Arabidopsis thaliana: one gene and its partners. The protein of the gene in region 3 interacts with the protein of the main gene of each other region in a pairwise test. Each region holds a gene or a part of one and is shown on either strand. Other genes may lie near its edges.

The links.
Region 1: the proteins of NF-YA7 (region 3) and NF-YC1 interact in a two-hybrid assay, tested with the Arabidopsis thaliana proteins (one study listed by BioGRID).
Region 2: the proteins of NF-YA7 (region 3) and IAA9 interact in binary tests that used the Arabidopsis thaliana proteins (3 or more experiments, as listed by UniProt).

The regions. Positions count from the first base shown.
Region 1 is NC_003074.8:18,006,870-18,013,820, forward strand, and holds NF-YC1 (nuclear factor Y, subunit C1), read right to left. Parts: upstream 3,150-6,951; 5' UTR 3,070-3,149; coding exon 2,369-3,069; intron 2,028-2,368; coding exon 2,024-2,027; 3' UTR 1,724-2,023; downstream 1-1,723. Other genes in the region: XTH11 (xyloglucan endotransglucosylase/hydrolase 11), read left to right, coding at 369-558, 645-745, 847-1,037, 1,121-1,472; AT3G48600 (SWIB complex BAF60b domain-containing protein), read right to left, coding at 3,299-3,436, 3,818-4,147, 4,276-4,494; NPC6 (non-specific phospholipase C6), read right to left, coding at 4,784-5,253, 5,821-6,323, 6,501-6,951. UniProt on the Arabidopsis thaliana protein: Stimulates the transcription of various genes by recognizing and binding to a CCAAT motif in promoters.
Region 2 is NC_003076.8:26,249,632-26,258,267, forward strand, and holds IAA9 (indole-3-acetic acid inducible 9), read left to right. Parts: upstream 1-3,776; 5' UTR 3,777-4,260; intron 4,261-4,315; exon of another isoform or gene 4,316-4,504; intron 4,505-4,792; 5' UTR 4,793-4,831; coding exon 4,832-5,373; intron 5,374-5,468; coding exon 5,469-5,695; intron 5,696-5,807; coding exon 5,808-5,949; intron 5,950-6,102; coding exon 6,103-6,164; intron 6,165-6,459; coding exon 6,460-6,503; 3' UTR 6,504-6,913; downstream 6,914-8,636. UniProt on the Arabidopsis thaliana protein: Aux/IAA proteins are short-lived transcriptional factors that function as repressors of early auxin response genes at low auxin concentrations.
Region 3 is NC_003070.9:10,800,655-10,808,134, reverse strand, and holds NF-YA7 (nuclear factor Y, subunit A7), read left to right. Parts: upstream 1-1,706; 5' UTR 1,707-1,895; intron 1,896-2,207; 5' UTR 2,208-2,238; coding exon 2,239-2,266; intron 2,267-2,435; coding exon 2,436-2,566; intron 2,567-2,827; coding exon 2,828-2,902; intron 2,903-2,981; coding exon 2,982-3,146; intron 3,147-3,225; coding exon 3,226-3,399; 3' UTR 3,400-3,685; downstream 3,686-7,480. Other genes in the region: RFNR2 (root FNR 2), read left to right, coding at 1-76, 174-393, 486-985; PHV (Homeobox-leucine zipper family protein / lipid-binding START domain-containing protein), read left to right, coding at 7,391-7,480. UniProt on the Arabidopsis thaliana protein: Stimulates the transcription of various genes by recognizing and binding to a CCAAT motif in promoters.

The DNA of each region.
Region 1 (6,951 bases), on a different chromosome or scaffold from region 3:
TTCCCCTTTTTAGAGTTTACTTTGTATGGAAAACTTTGTAAGCTAACAAACAAAAGTATTGAAATCGTGAAAAATAGTAAAGCTTTTTGAGCTGCAATATTTGATGCGTTGAAACGAGTTGGAAACAGCTTTCACTACACTAAAAACAAACTTAATCTCAAAATTTAGATGGATTAAACTCAAAACTTTTTAATTAATTGAATAGGATTTTAGGATGATGCAGTGAATATAGACTATTTGGTGAAAAAATACAACGTAACGTACGTGGCTGCTCTAAGCCTATATAACATAGCCCAAGAGAGTCGTGTTCTAATGTGATTAAGTAAAGTGAGGGAGAAGCAACGAGAGATAGAGATAGAGAGATCAAGATGAGAGGATCTGATCAGAAGATTCTACTGATGGTTATGGTGGTTGTAGCAGTTGTAGCTGCGGCTCAAGGCCAAGAAGAGACTACTGGATTCGTGACATGGGGTAACAATTACTACCAGACATGGGGACATCAAGCTTTGGTTATTAATAAAACCTCTGAGCTCCAGCTCACCCTCGATAAAAACTCTGGTTTTCTATCTCTCTTTCTCTCTGTCTACATGTGTCTGTGTGTTTGTGTCTAGTCGATGATTGTGATTGGTCTATGTTCCTTACAGGGTCCGGGTTTGAATCCCAATTGATTTACGGATCAGGATACTTCAACGTAAGAATCAAGGCACCTCAAACTACGTCTACGGGAGTCATTACTTCCTTCTATGTACGTGAATGACCAGTAAACTTAAGTTTGTCTAAAAATAAAGATGATGAGATTACGTACCTGAATAGCTTTTTGAAATCTGTTTTTCTGCTATACGGCAGTTAATCTCCCGTTCAAGCCGCCATGATGAGCTCTGTTTCCAGATCTTGGGAAAGAATGGGCCACCGTATTTGCTGAATACGAATATGTATCTGTACGGTGAAGGAGGCAAAGATCAGAGGTTTCGTCTCTGGTTTGATCCAACAAAAGATTACCATTCCTACAGTTTTCTTTGGAACCCTAATCAACTTGTGTGAGTATCATATAACACTTTTTATCAGATCATCCATTGATTAACATCAGTAACAAAAAGAAAATGTATTTCCACATTTTCAGGTTTTATGTTGACGATACACCGATCAGGGTGTACAGCAAGAATCCAGATGTTTACTACCCATCGGTGCAGACAATGTTCCTAATGGGAAGTGTGCAAAACGGATCGATAATTGACCCGAAGCAGATGCCTTACATTGCTAAGTTCCAGGCATCAAAGATTGAAGGGTGTAAGACTGAGTTCATGGGAATAGATAAATGCACTGATCCTAAGTTCTGGTGGAATCGCAAACAGCTAAGCTCTAAAGAGAAGACACTGTACCTAAACGCAAGGAAGACGTACCTGGATTATGACTATTGTTCTGACAGACAGCGATATCCAAAGGTGCCTCAAGAATGTGGAAGTTACACTTAGAGAAAGATCAATACCTGTCACAGGGTTAAGCCTACAAAACAATTATCTTGAAAAAATAACTTATGTTACTGTAAGATGCTTTATGATAAGCCTTTTCTATCAAATAACAACATTATTGTCATCAATGCTAGATACATTACTATGTCACGAGTTCATATACAGATACCTATTTACACAGAACCAAGTTGGTTCAGATCGGGTTTGCTTGAGGTTTACAAGCACTGAAACCTCTGAAAAGAACCTTACAGGTTACAAGACTGCATTTTCTCAGACATCAAGATAAGTCAAATATGAGAAAAAATCGGAAAGAAGCATACAATAGAAACTGCACATTAGATTATATATAGTTAGGCTAAGTCGCAGCAATGATGGTTTTGCTACAATAACATATACGTTAACAGAGAGAAACAAGAGTTTTTTTTACTCTTCTTTAACGAAGCCTTTTCATTGAATTTAGGCATAATCTATCAAACACATCCAAAATTCAAGGCGAGGTCGACTAATATCTGCTATCTTCAAGCAGGTCAAGCATCATCTGGAATACTCTGAGCTTAACTGCAAAAATGATACCAAAACATTGAAAGGTAAGTTTAAGGAGCCATAGTTCATTGATTCATTCAGATTCAGCAGAAGAGCAAGAGAATCTAGTTGTTTGATATAGCAATGTTTGCAAATTGCGATATGAAAACAATTTTCAAATCTTGATGATTACAGGATTAGAGATTGTTTATCATTCCAAATCCTAAAACCTTAATAAACAGAGAAATCTTGGACTAACATGATTATATCCCAAACAAACCAGACTTAGAGATTGTTTATCATTCCATCTCCTAAAACCCTAGACGATCATGTAATCAATCAATGTATATCACATTGCACAGAAAATGAAACTTTACCCTTGGCCGTCGAGATTCCCTTGACCGGAACTTCCACCACTACCATAAGAGACATCATCTCCCGTCCCCGTCGAAGTCTGCCAAACACTCTGCCACGCCTGAGACGGAGGCTGGACATAAACACCATTCGGATCCATAGCTGGTCTCCCAATCATCATCCCTCCAGGACCAGCTGGTTGTCCCATCGGCGGATAATAGTAAGGCACGCCGCTCGCGGTAGGAGCCACCACCATTCCACCACCGAGGACTGCGGCTTCGTCCTTAATCTCATCTCTAGGAACAATATCAACAAGGAAATCGAAGATATCAGTCCTAGTAATCGCAGCAGCGATATCGTTTTTCTGAAGCGTACGACGTTTATTCTCCTCAGCGTGAAGCCAAGATCTGATCGTGAGCTCGAGAATGAAAAGCTCACAAGCTTTCGCGAAGAGAATCGGTGCTTCTGCGGAGATCATACGAACATCTTCATCGGCTTTCATGATCTTTTTTATCCTAGCTAGTGGAAGCTGATGGTTTTTGAAATCGTTAACTTGTTCGATCTCTTGGCGTTGGTAGGTCCAGAATAGTTGGAGCTGTTGTTGTTGTTGTTGGAGAAGGTGGTGGTAAGAAGCTCCTCCTCCTGCGGCGGAGATGGTGGTTCCAGGTGGTGGAGGAGGGATTCCGGCGGCGGAGGGAGGTGGTTGCTGGTTGTTGGTATCCATTGGTCGGTTTTGGATTTTGATTTTTGGATCAAAAAGGTCGTGACAAGTTTTTGCCAAAGGGATTGGGGTACAAGTGGATAAGGTGGACAGCGATGTAGCTGATGATTTTCTCTCTTTTTTTTCTATTTCCTAAATTAATTTTTTTCTATTTTCTATTTCAAGTTAAATTTTGTTTTTTTTTTACACGTACCAAAGTTCATATGCATCCGAAATGAACCAAAAGAAAACATCAAGAGTGAAGAGAGCTGTCAGGAAAATGTTGCATCAAGAGTGAAGAGAGCTCTTTATTTCCGACTTTGTCTTTGCCATCGAGTATCGTCTTCAAGGTATCATCGCATCGTATCCGCCATTTACTACACTTCGTAATCTACAAATGAAACAAGTGAGCTCTAAACAAATCATAATCTCTAAACATGAAAATGCAATCTATGACCACCAAACAGAGAAGCAAGCACAAGGTCCAAAGCCACCTAAAGACACTCTATATTCGTAACTGGTGAATTCTTCATCTGACAGTGTATGAATTGACAAGCTAAGTTTTCAAAATATGCAATCAGAAAAGACCATTTCCACAAACAAAACCAAAACATTCAAGTGAGTAAACAACATTTTCAGCGTAGATGTCAATTACTCCAATAATGACCAACACAAGAATCAAATCACTACCATTCTCCAGTCTCTAGAGACTCCAATCCCTAAATGCATAAACATGTAAAGAGGAGATCATAAGGAAAGTAAAAAAGCTAACCCAAGGAAACTCGAGCAGAGTAACACCCTCATCTACGAGCTTGTGATCAAAGGCATAATCTAGCAATTTTCTCAAGGCGGCGTCAAAAGAGATTTCGCTTTGGCCGACGAATCTAGCCAGCGGCTCTGAGACTTTCACAATATCATTGAACCCCCATTTTTCTATAGTACCTCCACCGGTAGCCTTCACCTTCGCCGACATAGTTCTAACGTTAGGAAAATGTCGCAACAAAAGCTCCGTCATCTCTCTGACTCCGACGACTTTGTCTTGGCCATCGAAAATCGTCTTCAAGTTATCATCGCACAGTATCTCCTCTATATTCTCCGGATTCTACAAATCAAAGACCTATAAATCAGATACATTGCTCCAACAGAAAGAATCAGATCAAAAGACCTAGAAATCACCAAAAAAAAAAGTAGAATGAAAGGAAACTGGAGAAGAGTTTCGAAATCCCTAACCCAAAGATTGTGATCATCGGTATACTGCTCCACTTTCTCCATGGCGGTGGAAAAAGAGACTTCGCTTTGGCCGACGAATCTAGCCAGCGACTCTGAGACTGGAAAAATCTTATGAATTCCTCCTCTTCTATCAACGCCGGCGCCGGTAGCCGTCGCATTAGTCACCGCCTTCGCCATCAGTGTCCTGCATCCTCCTAGAATCTTAGAAATTGGCGACATTGTTGTTTCTCCTTCACTCCACTGCCCCTAACAATAAACAATTGAAGAAAAGTCTCCAACTAAAGAAATTGATGCAACTCATTTTGGGCCTTGTTGAATATTTATATATGGGCCTAATTGGGCTTCAGTTATATTGGGAGTTTATGAAGATCTTTCGATTGCTCAACATATCACTAACATTAACAATGAATTTTGTCTATTTCTTTGTTCCTCAATTCTAGTTTCCATACATAAAATCACACATTTTCAGATCAAAACATAGGAAGACGAATGCAAACAAGATTTTTAATCAGTTGTGTGGCCGTGTAGTGAGCGAAGATCGCATATCGACAATAGCAGATTTATCGGCACCAAGCTTCATTGCCTCTTTACTAGCTCTAATGAACCGAGAAGTAGCTCCTTTGACATACTCATGAGCTTGTTTCACAGTCATCTTCTTTCCAATTTCTTCCGGGAAGCTACTGAGGAAGTGATCACCATTGAGAACCGCTGCAAGCTGAACCACTTCACCTTGAAACTCAGAAAGAGCAGCGTCTTCTTTAGGCTCAGTGGCTCTCATAGGTGCAACTTCAGGTAGAGTCATGGGACAATCGGTTCGAGGAGTGGTTAAGTGAGATACAACGTCTTCGAAAGTAGCAGCCCATGCATCTCTATGTGTTAAGAAATTGGAAGAGAGATTGAAGAGTTTCTTGATTGTCGCTGGTATTGATGAATGCTCGTACTCTGAGCTCTCTGTTGGTCCTTTTGCTTCACTTACGACTTCATTCAAAACATATAATAAAATAAGATGTTATTAAACTATATATAGTAAAAAAATATTAAAATCAAATGGGGTCAAAGGATGGTTGAAAAACATGAGTCACGCAACGACGCCGACAAATTATAATATACTCCATCTTTCAATGGCATAATCAATGGATTCAATTATTTTCTCCACCATTATTAATGAATACAATCTTATAGTTGTCAAATGCCATCCATGTGATTTGGTTTTTGCAGCCTTAAATTTTGTTAGCAAATGTCAAAAATCTGTCGGAAATAGTAGTAGAAAGTGGAAATACATGAAATACAAATGAATTTCTTTTTTTGGGTTAAAGAAATGAATAGTTTCAATATTAATAATTCATAAGTGAAAAAAATAGTACGTTAAATAGGCATAAATACTACATATAAGTTTTTTGGTCAGTAGTTTCAAAACTATTTATATATCAAGTTCAAAAGCGGAGTGTTCTTGTTAATTTGGAAAAAAGCTTGAGGATTCTACTAAAAAGCAATGCACACTAAGAACAAATTTGTAAAATTATAATAGAGAAAAAGAGAACTAACCGGTTCCTTTTTGAATCCAAGGCGAAACCATAATGGTAGGAACACGAACACCTAACCGGTCGAATTTAAAGAAACCAGGAGCCGGTCCAGTATTCCCATCGGGATTTGGTATACCGACATAAGGAGTCTTGACGTGATCATAGAACCCACCATGCTCATCATAGGTTATAACTAGGAGCGTCTCGTTCCACTGTGGACTCGACCTAAGTGCCTCGTACACTTCTTTAACCAGCTTTTGACCGTTAGCCACGTCATGCGACGGGTGATCATCGTTAGCCGGTAAACCTTTGAGATCGAAATACCTCGGTTCGATTACGGTTAAGCTCGGTAACTTTCCTTTGGCCGCGTCTTTCTTGAATTTCAAATCGTATTGATGCAAATTGAAAATGTACTTTAGCTGTCGGAGATTACGGTAGAATAATGTGGTCGGAATATTCTGAAAGTATATTCCGAAGTCGATGTCGTTGCTATGAAGCGAATCAAATATCGTCTTCTGTGGATACCTGAAATTAAATGATGAATACATAACTATGCAAAATTTTATAATAGTTTATATTATCTCAATATTTTCTATGGAAACTAATCTTAAAAATTCAGTAATCAAGTGTGAAATTAAACTAATGAAAATTAACAAGGACTAATGAAAATAATAATTTAAAGAAAGAATTTGATAATGTTACCCTTGAGCGAGTTGTTTCTTGACATGGCTAGTGGAACCATGTGAGGTAGCCGAATAGACAAATAACCGGTTTGGTTGAGTCGGACCGGGAATTGAAGAAAACCACCGGTCGAACACAGCGAATTCCTTAACCAGCTCAGCATAAACCGGAACAGCTTCAGGCCTAAAGCCTTTCATTACAGTCTCCGACAAATTTCCCGGCATGGAAAGCGCTTGCTCAACGAAACCCATCATGGACGGGATCTGACCCGGCCCAGACCCGAATACTTGTTGCTCAACAGCTTCAAACGAATGACCCGGATCCGGATCCACAAACTCAGCATCACTAGTGAAACATATAGTTTGTGTAGAATTCGGAACCGGGTTACATTCTTGACCCGTTACACCGTTTATTGTCGGGTTTACTGAGTTCTTCATCCATCCTAAGAGATGATCGAAAGATCGATTCTCCA
Region 2 (8,636 bases), on a different chromosome or scaffold from region 3:
TTTATATATTGCGACAAGTTGATTATGTATAAGCTAGTTATCTTTGTGCTAATCCAATCTTCTATTCTAGGATGACACATGTTTAGGTTCACTAACAAAAAAAACACATGTTGAGGTAGATTATGACATAAGTTGGGCGGCCTTATTCAAAATGGTGCTTTACGAGTTAATTGTGTTAATGCTTGATCAGATTATTCCTCTATGTACACAGATATTGGTTTTAACTCCATCCGTCCATCTTGAAAACAGCGTTTTTGGATAATAATGAATAATCGATCTCTATAATGTATATTATTAGATTCATGTATATCTTGTACTTGTTCCTTTGGAATCTACATGTCTCTTTATATGTTTAAATGTTGTAAACGTTCCAGTTTGTTCAATAAAGAATAGATTTCTCTGCAATAAGAGCATGGTTAGTTTATTACACATTCACACCATGTAATGCTCTAGTTCCTCTTCGAAATTTGACACAAGATAACAATTATCTTTGAGATTTATAAGTTTCTTAGTAAGATTAGATACGATCTTTCATATGCAAACATCTATAAACACTGTTATTGACGAAAACTAAAATAAAGTAAGCACAATTATTTTCAGTTTTTCTTTTTAAATTGTGCTTACTTTCATATACTGTACAATTGAGTTTATAGAAAATTGGTTTCAAATTTCTAAAATGAAATACAAGGAATTTCTATTAGGAAGTAGACTTGCTATTTTAACTTGTAATCACAATAAAAATATCTATATCTATGTGTGTGCGAAGTGTGAACTGTGAATGGGTCTTGAATTTGTCACCGCCGTTTCTTTTAGGGTCAATGAGTATATCCACTAAACCCATCTTACACTTTTTTATATCACTTTTTTTTTTCTATCAATAACAAAAAATTCTATAAAACGTGTTTTAACCATTATAATTGTAAACCCTAAACCCCACGATCCTACACTTTTTATATCACAACTTGTGTGTTTGCTTAAAACGTTGTTAATAACCATTATAATATATATCTAACATAATAACATTAAACTTTTTAATTAGTCCAAAAAATGAACTTACAAATTATTATCTACTAATAACGATTTCAATGAGGTATGCAGCATGTTGTTGGGTTTGTTTTGAGAGTGACGCAAATCTGTCTTTTCTCCAATCTAATCAAAGATACATAGCGATTCGGTGACATCAATTCTAGAACCAAAAAGATTTGATTAAACAGAGAAATTGACTTAATATGCATTTATAATATAAGCTCTTATGTTGTAGAAAAATCCAAACCTGTTCCACAAGCAAAAACTAAGCTGTATGGGACCATGTTGATATAGACTAAGACCCTAAGCGATATGTACAAATACAGGTGTTATACATAGAAAGAAAAAGAAACCGTTTTTTTCTTTTTCTTATATCTAATTCATATACAGCTAGATATACATGTAATTTAAAATGTTATCTTTATGTAGTAATTTATTGCGAGGGATGAAATATCTGACGGAGGTTTTATGTGAAAACTCGAAGGTGTATTTGATTTTCGGTCAAATATATTTTAATGGCTCTCTCGTATATTGATGATCACGGCTCGGTACATTGTCCTATTACGAACTCGATAAAATTAATTATATTATTTTGTTGTGCAAATCCGATTTAGTAGCTCGTCGTTTGACCCTATATTGAGACATATAAAACATATAACAATTTGCAATAAATAATTAGTTGTTTTTGTGTATTTCTAGTTAAAAAAAAATTGAAAAAATTGTGATACAAAGAATTATAAAAACGTTGACAGCAACATGACTGACTAAACGAAGAAATATCTTACGTACATTACATTTTTTTTGGGGTCAACACGTAGATTATAAATTCAACAAATCCTTAATACGAGAGAGGTAAGTATATTATGGCCCATCAAGAAGGATAGTGGCTTATGGGCCTATGTTATAATATGAAATAAAAGCCCAATTATAAATGAATTTTTATATACTAGAGTGCAAAGTCTGGGCCCAAAGTAAACAGTCTAACGTGTCTTGTCGTTTGATTTCCTCCACTCTAATTATAAATTAATTAATTACGGGGAAAAAGATTAATTAACTTTAGTGAATCCATCATCAATCAAAGACTAATAAAATAAGCGTGAAGGACAAAAGCACTACGGGTCTCATTGTCTTGTCTCAACCCGCATTATTTGTACTCGCAAATGCTGCTAATCTGATCTACTGTTTACTTTTGCATTTTTGTAATAATTTATCTGTATTACTATTATTGTTTTTTACCAATCACTTTTTAATTAGACACATATTTTCATGTACTCATAATTTTAAATATAATGTCTGATGGTAGTTGTAGTAATTTGAAATAATTAATATCCTTTACTTATTATACAGACGATTAAACAAAATATGAGAAAGAGAAAATCAAAACTTTTTACGGGGAAGGTTAAGAAATGCCGTATTATTATTCTGGACGGTGAATATTTTTCTTTTACTTTCCTCTTTGTGCATAAGGTGTTAAAGACTTTTTTTTTTGATTAATCGTCTTTAAATCTTTGGTAAAAGGAAAGAAAAAAGGTTAAAAAGAATAGAGAGGGGTAAAAAAGAGATAACGTGAGTGGTACGGAAGAGTGATGATGAAAAAAAAAGAGTCAGAGAAGGTCATGATGATGATGAACGGACACAGGCCTCTCTTACTCTCTTACCATCAAATCCTACGGTCAGATTGAGATATTTTGTGCTTCCCATGCGTGTTCTTCAATCCCATTTCACCCCTTTTGTTATTATTATGCTCCCCTTTCCCCAATTCCCATTACCTTCCTTTTTTAATTACTTTGAATTTTTTACAGTAATTTTTTTTATGTATATTACACCCGACTATAATTTTTTTCTTTTTTTCTTTTTAACACGAAAAGAATGTAACCGACTATAAAAATTAACATACATAATTTACCTGTTTATTACCAACGAATTTACTTTTTTACTTTTTAACCAATCATCCTTATTACTATGGATTAAACGTTGTGTATGATGATCGTAACAGTGCAATTCAGACATATTTAATACTCCAGAAATATGTATGTTGTTCACATTCAAATTTTGTACTTCTAACAATAACACCACAAATTATACTTTCAAAAAATGAGATTTTTTTTTTAAACTCAATTCGGACAAACTTGTATGTATCTAATTTTTGTCATGACTATAATTTTGTTTCAATCAGTTTACTTATTTAAGTGCAAATTCAACAAAAATAAAAAACAAAAATCTAGCACGTGACGTAACCTTATGAAAAAGATTAATCTATAGTCATTATTAAAGTTACTTATACTATTTACCCATTCATCTATCTAGAAGACTACAATGAATGCCAAACCAAAAAAAAAAAGCAAAATGAAAAATTCAAGTTTGGGGGGACTAACATTTCTCAATGGGCCCCATCCAGTTGGGCCAATCTAAGTAAAAAAAATTGAAAGATAAGGAAACGTAATAATGAAAGTTAAAGAAATTAGGAAGGTGGCGGAATTTAATTAAATTTAATCCGAAAGAAAGAAAGTGATTATAAAAAAAGATTAACAAGTCTTAATTAATTTTAGATTAATAAAGTAGAGATAGAGAGAGAAAGGAAGAAAGTGGAAGAGGTTAGATGTCCCATTCACCACCCGGCAAACCGACTTGGAATGCCGCTTTCTTGTCCCCTCCTCACTCCTCTTTTTCTCTCTTTACCATTTTACCCTTCATTCCTCAATCACATTATCATCACATAGAGGTTACATTAGTCATTAAAAACAAAAGGATAGAATCGGAATTTAATATTTGCAGACAACCATCCCCTTTCGGGTGGAGCCAGAAAAGTGGCATAATTTTGTTTAAAGATCCGACTCCCGACATTTGTACATCAACGGTTCATATCTGCTGATTTAAATCCGACGGTTTAGAATTATCAGCACGATCAAATCTGAGCCGTTGGATTAGAATCCATTCGTAAATAAAAATACGCAACTTTTTCCACTTATTTTCTATTCTACCACTTTGTTTAGTTATTTTAATTTTAATCTCGGCTACGAGTTTCTGGGTAATGATAATTAAGCTTTTTTCTGCTTTAATGGAAGGACCTTGACACTTCTCTCTCTCTTTCTCTTTGCTATTCATCTTCTACAGTTTCTTAAAAATTATACTCTTCTTCTCCAAAATATCTCAGACTCTCTTATTTTTGATCGTCTTCTTCTTCTTCGTTGTGAGCTTCCATTTTTCATCCAGGATTTGTTTTTTCCGTTTGAGGTAATTATGTCTTCTCTGTTCTTCTTATACATAGTTTCAAATCCGGTAATTTTTAGCTTGTTGTTGTTTGTGTGTGTAGTTAGTAGTTATTAGATCTATTAGCTATTGAGTTTCTTTGCTGATTTCCTCACTATTTCTATGGCGAATTTTGGTTTGTTTGAGCTGTTGGCTTAAACCTTGCTAGGTTTAGTGATTTGTAGATAGAATTCTGTGGAAATTCAAATCTGAGATCAGCTCGAAAAATGTAACTCAACGGTGTAGTTTCTTCATCTGACCTTAAGTTGACTTCTATTTATTTTTAGCTTTCCATTTTTTTCTCAGATTGAGCTTTATTTTGCTCTAAATTTTGGTTGTGAGTTTTTCATAGATGCAATCTACTTTTGAAACCCTAATTGATACGGTTTCGAGTTTCTTCGAATTTTGATTGAAATTGAGTTCTTGATTTTTTCTGGTAATTTAGGGTTTTGTTTGAGGATTTGTTTATGGTTATGTGAATTTAATGTGGAGGACTTTGTGCTGTGTAAATCATCAGGTAAAGCAGCTTTGCAGTTAAAGAAACCTTGAGTATCCAATGTCCCCGGAAGAGGAGCTACAGAGCAATGTATCGGTGGCTAGTTCTTCACCTACTAGCAATTGCATCTCCAGGAACACTCTAGGAGGACTTAAAGAGCATAACTACTTGGGTCTCTCTGATTGTTCTTCTGTTGGAAGCTCTACTCTCTCTCCCCTTGCTGAAGATGACAAAGCTACTATCAGCCTCAAGGCTACGGAGCTGACACTTGGTCTTCCTGGATCACAATCTCCTGCGAGAGACACAGAGCTTAACCTTTTGAGCCCAGCAAAGCTAGATGAGAAGCCATTCTTTCCTTTGCTTCCTTCTAAAGATGAGATATGCTCCTCCTCGCAAAAGAACAATGCATCGGGAAACAAAAGAGGCTTTTCTGACACAATGGATCAGTTTGCTGAAGCTAAAAGTTCAGTGTATACTGAGAAAAACTGGATGTTCCCTGAAGCAGCAGCCACCCAGTCTGTAACAAAGAAAGATGTGCCACAAAACATACCCAAAGGACAGTCTAGCACTACAAACAATAGCTCTAGTCCACCTGCAGCCAAGTATGAATAGAAGATAGGAGCATTCGTTCGATTTTGATATGGATTACTTTCAACAGCTAGCTAACTGGTGTTTTTTCGGATTCTGGAATTTTCAGGGCACAAATTGTCGGTTGGCCTCCAGTGAGATCCTACAGGAAGAACACATTGGCCACTACTTGTAAGAACAGTGACGAAGTTGATGGGAGGCCAGGTTCTGGGGCTCTCTTCGTGAAGGTCAGTATGGATGGTGCTCCTTATCTGAGGAAAGTTGACCTGAGGAGCTACACTAACTACGGGGAGCTTTCTTCAGCCTTGGAGAAAATGTTCACCACTTTCACTCTTGGTGAGATGTTTCAGTGATTGCTAGTGATGTGTTTGAAAACCTCTTTCTATTTAAGGATCAATGAATGAGTGCAGTCAAAGTAGTTAACCTGCACTGTTTATTTGATGTTTAGGTCAATGTGGATCTAATGGAGCTGCTGGGAAGGATATGCTTAGTGAGACCAAGCTCAAGGATCTTTTGAATGGAAAAGACTATGTGCTCACTTATGAGGATAAGGATGGTGACTGGATGCTTGTTGGAGATGTTCCGTGGGAGTAAGTTTCCTCTCTTATATTCAAAACTTGTTAGAAGCTTTCTCTACTCTCTGCCAGATATCTTAGAATCAAATCTAACATGCCATAGAAGATTATATCATGGTGATTGGTATAAGCGCTCATGAGTGATTTCTGATCCGATGTATATTACAGGATGTTTATTGATGTCTGCAAGAAGCTGAAGATAATGAAAGGGTGTGATGCTATTGGGTTAGGTAAAGTCTATTCTTCTCTCTGCTCCTAAGCTACAACGTAAACTACTATCTCTACTAAAACCGATTACAAGTAGTGTGTATGATGAGATTAGTGGTTTGTTGGTGTGAGTTACTTGTAGCTGATTTAGAAATTTCAATTCATGTTTGATCACTCGTCTTCTTTTGGGAGTAAATACAACAAATTAACATGTAAATAAAATCGAAATTAAACTGATTTCAATTCATGTTTGATCACTCGTCTTCTCTGATTCAAAATGTCTTAATGATTCAATGTGGTGAACTGGTGATATTGCAGCTGCAGCTCCGAGAGCAATGGAGAAATCGAAGATGAGAGCTTAAAAGATGGAACATGACAAAGCTTTCTAACTATACAAAATATGTGCGATCTTTTGGTGGTGTTTTTAAATTTCAAAACATCAATATCTTTAGTTTCTGAATTTTTAAAATGAAGTAAGTAAGACTACGAATGTAAGGAAATGAAGAAGAATTAAAAATGATCTATTTTTGTTGTTTGTTTGTTGCTTTAGTCAGTAAACTGGTCGTTGTTTTATGTTTTGTGTTTGATTTGGATGTGTGGTTGACTTCTACCTTTGAGATATTATTTGATGTAACGTTTTTGTTATTCTCTTCTTTGCTTCTTCTCGAGAAGAGAAGATAGACAATCCGGTTTTACGATTTGGCTTTCTATCATTGAACATGGAGGTTCTTCTTCTGCATTTGCAAAACAATCTTAAATATTAATCAGTACTTAAATCTTTGAGGTGGATTGTTAAATTCTAACACATTTGAATGCGGAAGTGGTAAACCTACGTTTTTCTCAATGTCTATGACTCTATTCTAAATGGAATATCAAGATTAATCAGAAAGAAAAAAAAATCTTTTTATAACTGTCATAACTAAACTGTGCTACCAAATCATTGCCACCAACGGATCTTTAAACCAACTTGAATAATTCACCTGAAGAACCAAAAGCTACAAGACAAATCAAAGATAAATAAAAGTAATTTCGCCGGGAAAAGGTTTTGATATCATTATTTCACTTTTTAACCTTCCATGAAACTTTGTTTACCTTAGCAAGCATGGGCTGCGTACAAACTCATGATAACTATATAGTACAATCCCCAAACGAAGATATCATAAATTTCAACGAATCAGTTTTAGATTTAGTGAATAACTATAGTTTAATAGTATCGAATAATATCGTTTGAGAGAAAAATAGTCAAAGATACATGAACATAAATTCCCATATACTAATTTCCCATTTCTCATTCAAGGAACGTTTATTATTTTTCTGTTCCTGAAGGTGGAAGCATAGTGCGCCTCTTTGGGTTTGGCAATGGTGGTTTGCTTATTTGTTTTATGAAAATTATTTTTGTGATATCATTTATTGTTCATTTTTAATAATTCCGTTAGCGTTGACAAAACAATATGATTAAACCCCACCTAAAATGAAATGTTATATTCAACTGTCCAATTTTTCAAAGAGGCGTTAATTAATCAATTCCAAGGCATATATTCGATCAAGATAATTAAAGACTCATATAGTACTCTCATAGTTTAAGAGAACCTACGGGTCGAATTTAAATCACTCTTGTTACTTTAAAACTTTAATCCAAATAATGTAGTATATATCTGTGATTCTTGTAGCTAGCTTCACGTGAACTTAATAGTATACACATAAACAACAATCATTGGTCGTGAATCTCATTTAATTCGTTTCGCTTTGATGCACTTATTCGAATGGGACATACTATATACATCCATATAAGTTGATAAACTATATAGTAATATTCAATGTTTTTAAAATTAAATATATGAAATAGACTTAGGGAATGACATGTCGAATTTGTCTCCAAAAGATATGAATTGAATTATGCTTCTCAGTAATGGAACGTGGCAATACCTTTATCACTCATCTATATATGGTTGTTCCCCAAAATTATTTCTTCATCAAACGAGAAAAATAAGATTGTAAATGTAAATGATTTGATCATCTCAATGTTGCATTCAAGAATAGTATCTATAATATTTAGTTATAAGCATTAGGTATTAGGTCAATTATATTCAACTGAGTCTACGAATCGAATTGCATATTGCGTAAAAATTCAAATAAAAGAAGCTAGATAAATGAATATACGTACGATTACGAGAATGAATGTGTGTTTCTTCGATTTGGTAGACCTTCAACAAACCCACCGAATTGATGGTATCCATAGATTTCTTATCAGTTATCAGTCATGGGAGAGATTTACGATCTCATATATATGGACAAAATATATCGTATCAGCATTATTATTGATTTATTGTTTAGTTAAGTTCTTTTTTTTTTGGTTTTTCCTTTTTTTCTTTGAAAGGTTTGATTAGCAGTTTTGTCCGGACAGACCAAGTATATATATACAATAATTGTGATTGTGTTAGGACATTCAAAATCTTCCATACAGTTTTCGAATTAAGTTGGTATACAAGTTTTTC
Region 3 (7,480 bases):
AACTTGTCATATCGTCATCGATCATGATGGTAACCTTCCTTACTGGGAAGGACAGAGTTACGGTGTGATTCCTCCAGTAAGTCATGTCCCTCGTGCTGTTACGTTGTCTTCAAATTGTTACCACCATTCTTAATCTCTTAAATCTATTAATGAACTGGAACTTTTGCGTGTAGGGTGAGAACCCGAAGAAACCGGGAGCGCCACACAATGTGCGCCTTTACTCAATTGCATCAACAAGGTACGGAGATTTCTTTGACGGTAAAACAGCGAGTTTGTGTGTACGTAGAGCTGTTTATTACGACCCTGAGACTGGAAAAGAAGATCCTTCAAAGAACGGAGTCTGCAGCAACTTCCTATGTGATTCAAAGCCCGGTGACAAGATTCAAATCACCGGTATGTAAACTAATTACCCAACCAACTGATCTCATACTTAAAGACCCCTTGGACTAAGTTTTCTTTTAACTCAATATACATTTCAAAACCAGGTCCATCTGGGAAGGTAATGCTATTACCCGAGAGTGATCCAAACGCGACACACATAATGATAGCCACGGGAACAGGAGTGGCTCCATACAGAGGCTACTTACGTCGAATGTTCATGGAAAACGTCCCAAACAAGACATTTAGCGGCTTAGCTTGGCTCTTCTTAGGCGTGGCCAACACCGATAGCCTTCTCTATGACGAAGAGTTTACCAAGTACCTAAAAGACCATCCAGACAACTTTAGGTTCGACAAGGCATTGAGCAGAGAGGAGAAGAACAAGAAAGGTGGAAAGATGTACGTGCAGGACAAGATTGAAGAATATAGTGATGAGATCTTCAAGCTTTTGGACAATGGAGCTCATATTTACTTCTGTGGGCTTAAAGGAATGATGCCTGGGATTCAAGATACACTTAAGAGAGTTGCAGAAGAGAGAGGTGAGAGCTGGGACTTGAAGCTTTCTCAGCTCAGGAAGAACAAGCAGTGGCACGTTGAAGTCTATTGAGCTCTTTATTTGTATTTGCTGTTTTTGATTTTTGATTTAAGAATCGTAATAAATTTGAATTTGGTGTTTTTCTACTTTTCAAACATGATATGATGATAATATCTGAAATTTGTTGGTTTTGAGAAGAGAATATTCTCAGAGAATAATCAATATATCATTTATGTAGTGACATGAGCCATCAAGAAAACGACGAAAAGGTATATACTATTAAAGTTGAGAATAATCTTATCTTACATGTGCTGCCATAAACCCAACCAAAGGTTATAGAATATTGCATAAAATATTCGAATCGCCTAACGTCATTTTAATGAAAATTTTAGAGAGTTTATAAATCAATAAATCATAATAATCATCGGTTTACCAAAACATAAGTATTTTGAATTTTCGGCTTTTGTTCGGTTATGTAGCTGAACAATTCGAATTAGTGTCATAGATTCATACCGAACCGAGATTACTCTCTTGTCTGATGTCTCTAGAATTCAAACAAATACGAACCGGTTTCGCTATCGATGACTCACACAACAGAAAATACCAATAAGAATCGGGCAACGGGTAGAGGTTAGGTCCCCGTGGACTTAATCAGTAGTGTAAGCGAGCTGCTTCGGTCAGCAAATTTTAGATCTGCCCGTAATCTGCTACGTGCAATCTAAAACGCTTCTCTAATTCTCCACTTGTACGATCGATATTGCGTCCGCATCAATTGTTACAAACTCTGCCGTTTCTTTACTTGCTGAAGACTGAAAACGTCATGACGTTTTATGCTAGTTGAGAAGGACGCTCTGAAGTTTGGGGATATTAAAAGTGCGGAATAACTTGAGGAAGGGAAGAAAACGACACTCTCTCGCTCTCTCTCTGTTCTTCATTTTCAAGAAGAGGCTCTCTAATCGTCGTCAGAGAAAATTGCAGAGAGGTAAATTTTATATATTGGTTTTGAAATTCTTAGCCTTTGATTTGTTTTTTGTTAGAATTTTGCTTTGCTGTTTTAGGATTTAGTAGGACTGTGAGAATTATAGGTTTAATTATGGTTTATCATCTTTTGTTGTTATTTATGAAAGTTGTGGATGTTCTGATTTGGTTCTGTGATTATTCTAAGTAGCTTGACTTGTTTAGTTTAAATATGAGGTTAATGATTTTGTGGGGATTTGATAGTTCTGGTTCTTGAGTTTATTTAAAATAGGTTTACCAGGATCATGTACTGACTCTGTTCTTTGGAACTTTTCAGAATTCTGCTTCGGACATTAAGCTCATGAGTCATGACTTCTTCAATCCATGAGCTTTCTGGTTTTGCTCTCTCTCTTCCTTATTCATTTTATGCTTATATTTTATTTCAAGTTGATTCTGCTTTCAGAAGATAGATTTTTACCTAAGCTTGTTTTATAGTTCATTTGGTTTGCTGTTAATGATTCTTTTGGTGGTGCTCTCTTGTTAAGTTTGGTGTGTTCTTGTCCAGATAACATTGGAAGTCATGAGAAGCAAGAACAGAGAGATTCTCATTTCCAACCACCAATCCCTTCTGCAAGAAATTATGAATCAATTGTTACAAGTTTAGTCTACTCAGACCCGGGGACTACAAATTCCATGGTAAAAATGGAAATGTTTGATCACACCTCTCTTGATTATTGCTAATGAGTTTCGTCCAAATCTTTGATTGCCTTGCCTTTGAAGCTAGCTAATTTGTATTTTTTTGCTCTTCATATGTAGCACCTTCTAGTTGATAATTTCTAGGTTTAACTACTTCTTGGCACCATGACTAATACAATATCACCTTTCTGCATTTTCAGACGATATACAAGTAACAAAATTTTGTTCATGTTTTATGTATGTGTATTCTTATAATTAAAGGCACCTGGACAATATCCATATCCAGATCCTTACTACAGAAGCATATTTGCACCGCCTCCACAACCGTATACCGGGGTATGGTGTATTACTTAGTCCACCCTACGACGATTGTTCTTATCTGGATAAGTTGGATTTATGTTACAAATCATTTCAGGTACATCTACAGTTGATGGGAGTGCAGCAACAAGGCGTTCCTTTACCATCTGATGCAGTCGAGGAACCTGTTTTTGTTAACGCAAAGCAATACCACGGTATACTAAGGCGCAGACAATCAAGAGCAAGACTTGAGTCTCAGAATAAAGTCATCAAGTCACGTAAGGTAAGAAAACTTTTCTTAAATCGTTTATTGGTTATGATATCTTACTTCATTTGTGTAAATCTTGAGAGTGTATTTGTAGCCGTATTTGCATGAATCTCGGCATTTGCATGCGATAAGACGACCAAGAGGATGTGGCGGGCGGTTTCTAAATGCCAAGAAGGAGGATGAGCATCACGAAGACAGTAGTCATGAAGAAAAATCCAACCTTAGCGCTGGTAAATCCGCCATGGCTGCTTCTAGTGGTACATCTTGAGAAGGTCCTACAAGTAGCTTTGTTGTATTTTGGCTCTGTTTGGTCTCAGATCATCTATGTCTTTTAGTGTATGATATATACAAATCTTTGTATAAAGGTATAGATAGGTTCTTGGGAAGCAATTAGGTAAACGTGAAGTGGGTTTTAGACTTGTGATTATTAAATAAAACCCACCGAGGAAAAAGGGAAATAAATAATGTCCATGATGTTTAGTTAAATACAATGCTACTGATATTGTTTTGTTATAAGAAATTTTGGTAATAAAACGAAGAATGGAAGAATCCACAAACAATGACACCAAGGTTGTGGTCTATGTGCAAGAACGGGTGGATGGTCGATATGTATTTCCTCCTCATAGAAGATTAGGTACTATATCTCTCACAGTCTCACTCCAGAACAAGAATCCTTTCTGACTTTCAAGAGGAATATAGAGCCCTATCAACGTTAGTATGGTTATCGTGTCTTGGTTGATGTTGAATACATCAAATGAGATATTGAAGCCATACTTGACTTCGATATTCAAACCTTTGCACCAAGGATCATTTCATATCTACAAGGATTCTATCCACATAATTTCATCTATGATAATGTTATGCAAGTACAATACAACCTCTAAAAAATAATAGTCAATAACTTAATAACCTATATAAATTAATAAATTCTTCGTAATCAAAATTTTGTAATTTCTTGGAATTTCACCCATTTGTAAATTAATTTTATCTCTCATTTTAGACCCAAAAAAAAAAAATCTATTGTGCCACTTGTAAATCAATAATCCAATTAGCTTGTTTTCTTATTATTTGTAGGATCGAGTTGAGGTATCAGACCAAACCTTCTGACGAAACCAGAGACGTTTGAGGAGCGAAGTACATCCACATGTGTTGCTTCTGCCTCCATTTTGTATTTATCGTTGGAAATCTATTTGGAGGGCAGAATTTTTTTGGATTTAGTTTACTCGGTTTTCTACGAAATAGCTCTCCTATTTACAGACAATTGTGCAGAGAAATATTACTTGAATGTGCAACATGATCCTCATAATTAAGAGCTTCTACTTGTATGGTATTTCGATGAGAATCTCTCCATTGTTCTCTACTTCAAATATCAAATTAGCTATCTAGGTAAAAAGTGCCGTTAGATCGAAATCCTTCATAGTAGGTGATGATCAATCTTGTATTTTGCGTATATATATACTTCACATAAGAAATAAATATATTAATTTATATATTTATTTCTGTCCAAAAATCATAGAAAGTTATAAGAAAACCAAAAAAGAATAGAAAAGAAACAATGTTTGGACAAATGGATACAAACCAATTGAAAAATCGTAACCAACCAAAAATACAGGTTGTACCCCCAGCAAAGGCAGACCTGTCTTTGTTTTCTCATAATTTATAGGGAATTTAATAAAAAAAACCCTCAACTTTGGCCAGATCCATTTTTAAACCCTGAACTATATTTTTAGTAAAACAAACCCTGAACTAAAACCTGTTAATAAACTTAACCCCACAGTAATTAAATATTAATGGGATATTAATTTCCAAAAATCGACCAAAGAACAATGACAGAATCCGTGATCCAACTGAAGATCGTCCACCTCAAAAAGTTCTTTATACACGTGAAAAAGTTCAAATGGTAAAATAGAAAACAATGAATTATGTTTCACAAGATCTTCCTTTTCAAATTATTTAATTTAATCTTTGCATATTTAGACTTGTAGCAACTATCAACAAGTCGGACACAACAAACGTTCATGCAAGCGTAAAGCAGTGCCAAAACCACCCAAGAAACCTCAAAGACGACCAAGGAAAAAACAGAAAACAATGGATGAAGAGAACCCTATCACTCAGCCAATACAATCTTCTCTTCAAAGTTAATGCTTGACAAGTCTTTACTTTAGAATATCTTGTCCCTCTGAAACGATTGTTTTTTTTGTGACAAATATTGTTGTGTTGCAACAGCTTCGATAGTTATGTTGGTTGGATTTATTTAAGTATGACTCTTTGGATTATTTTAAGTTGTTGTGTCTTTCTTTCAGCTTCTAAAATCCAAACTAATTAAGCAATTCAAAATCATTTAGAACGTTTTTTTGTAATAAATTCAAAATAGTTTTAAAGAACATCATGTGGTTTTTGCGCTAAATACAAATGTCTCGTTGTTTTTTTTTTTAGAAATTAATATCCCATTAATAATTAATTACTGTGGAGTTAAGTTTATTAACAGGTTTTAGTTCAGGGTTTGTTTTACTAAAAACATAGTTTAGGGTTTAAAATGGATCTGGCCAAAGTTAAGGGTTTTTTTCATTAAATTCCCTAATTTATATTCAAAACTTTCAAAACAAGTTAAAGGAAATAAAACCAATTAAGGTTAACCAAAAAAAACAACAGATTTCACGCATCTCACGCGCATAGTGACATTGTACATACTTGTCATGCATCGTCTCTTCCACATGGATACAAAAGATAGGCATACAACAACACCATCATCATGAAAATATGTACATGCACATACATACATACATACAACGTCTTAGGACTAGAGAGCAAAGAGGGTAGGGAAAATTTGATGCTATGTTTGGGTAGGCCACTGTCACAGAGCTTAAAGAGAAGTGCTTTCTTTCCCTAAGTTAGCAAATTACCCCATTTTGTCAAAATTCCGTTTCTTCTGACAACAACACTTACGTTTTACGAATATAAATAGTTGTAGCATGATTTATTTTTGTTACCAATAGATAAACATATTTATTCTTATCGATTGCCATTAGGACTAGGGATTCTGATAATAATTGATATGTCTTAAAATTTGCAGAGACAACAACTTTGCGTGTTGGTTTTCTCATCTGTTTGTGTTTAGCCTTAGTCTGAAATCTGAATGCATTTAAGTTTTTCAAAACTAATCACTTTCAATCCTTTTTAATTGTCAACATCTACTTGTCCTTTTAATCTAATCCAAGAATATTGAATACAGAAACATGTTTACACAAAGAAAATTAGGTGGTAATGATATGAATTAGAGAAGTGTAATCAAGATTCCATCTCATATTAAACCTATTTAAAAGAGTTGTAAGAAAAAATAATAAAACAAGTAATTATTTACTTATAACTATGCATCAAATATTACGAAACTTTTAAAATGAATTGTTAATCTAATTCAATCAATATTATAATTATCTATTTAACTAATAATATTTATATGGTGGCAACCAAAGAATATATATGGGTCCAACTGGTAATTTAGATGAATTGTAAAATTTTTCGGAATAGTTGCAAACTATAAAAAAGAGTTGTACGAGAAAGTTGTATAATAAAATTGAGAATAAAACTTTTTATAACGTTTTTGATAAAGATTTTATAAATGATAACTGTCAAAGTTGTACAAACTCTACCGCTTTGATAATGAGTTATCAAAGACATAAACTTTTATCCTAGTTAATCATTTTAACTTTTAGAATTTAAGCTTTGAATTAAAATTCAAGCTTAGCTTTGTATAAGAAAAAGTTTAAATATTTTTACTTTGCCTTAACAGTAAAAAGCTTTTAACCAAAAACATTGAATTCAACCTACTCTCCCAAAAATTTCACCTTTAATTTTTTTTGAAAACAATATTTACCAGTTTAGTGCATCTTGTTGGGTTGTTCCTTGTCCTTTCTCTCTCAGAAAGATCTTTACTTTTACTTTTTCAGTATTTTCCTCTCTCTTCTCTCTCTTCTCTCTCTTCTCTCTACTTAGCTGCCTCGCTTTTGCTCCTTTTACCTCTTTCCATCTTTCAATCTCCTTTGAGAGAGAGAGCAAATGAAAAAAACCCAAAAAACTCTTTTCTCCAACCATTACCATCTCATGAACACTCTCACAGGAGGCTCTCTCTTCTCAGAGAGCCTACCCATCTAATATTTCTTCATCTGAGTCTCTTTTACTTCTCTCAAAGTATCGATCTTTATTCTTCTTTTTGTAAACCCTCTCTCTCTCTCTGATTTCTACTGACCTGTTTGGAAGATATGATGGCTCATCACTCCATGGACGATAGAGACTCTCCTGATAAAGGATTTGATTCCGGCAAGTACGTTAGATACACGCCGGAACAAGTT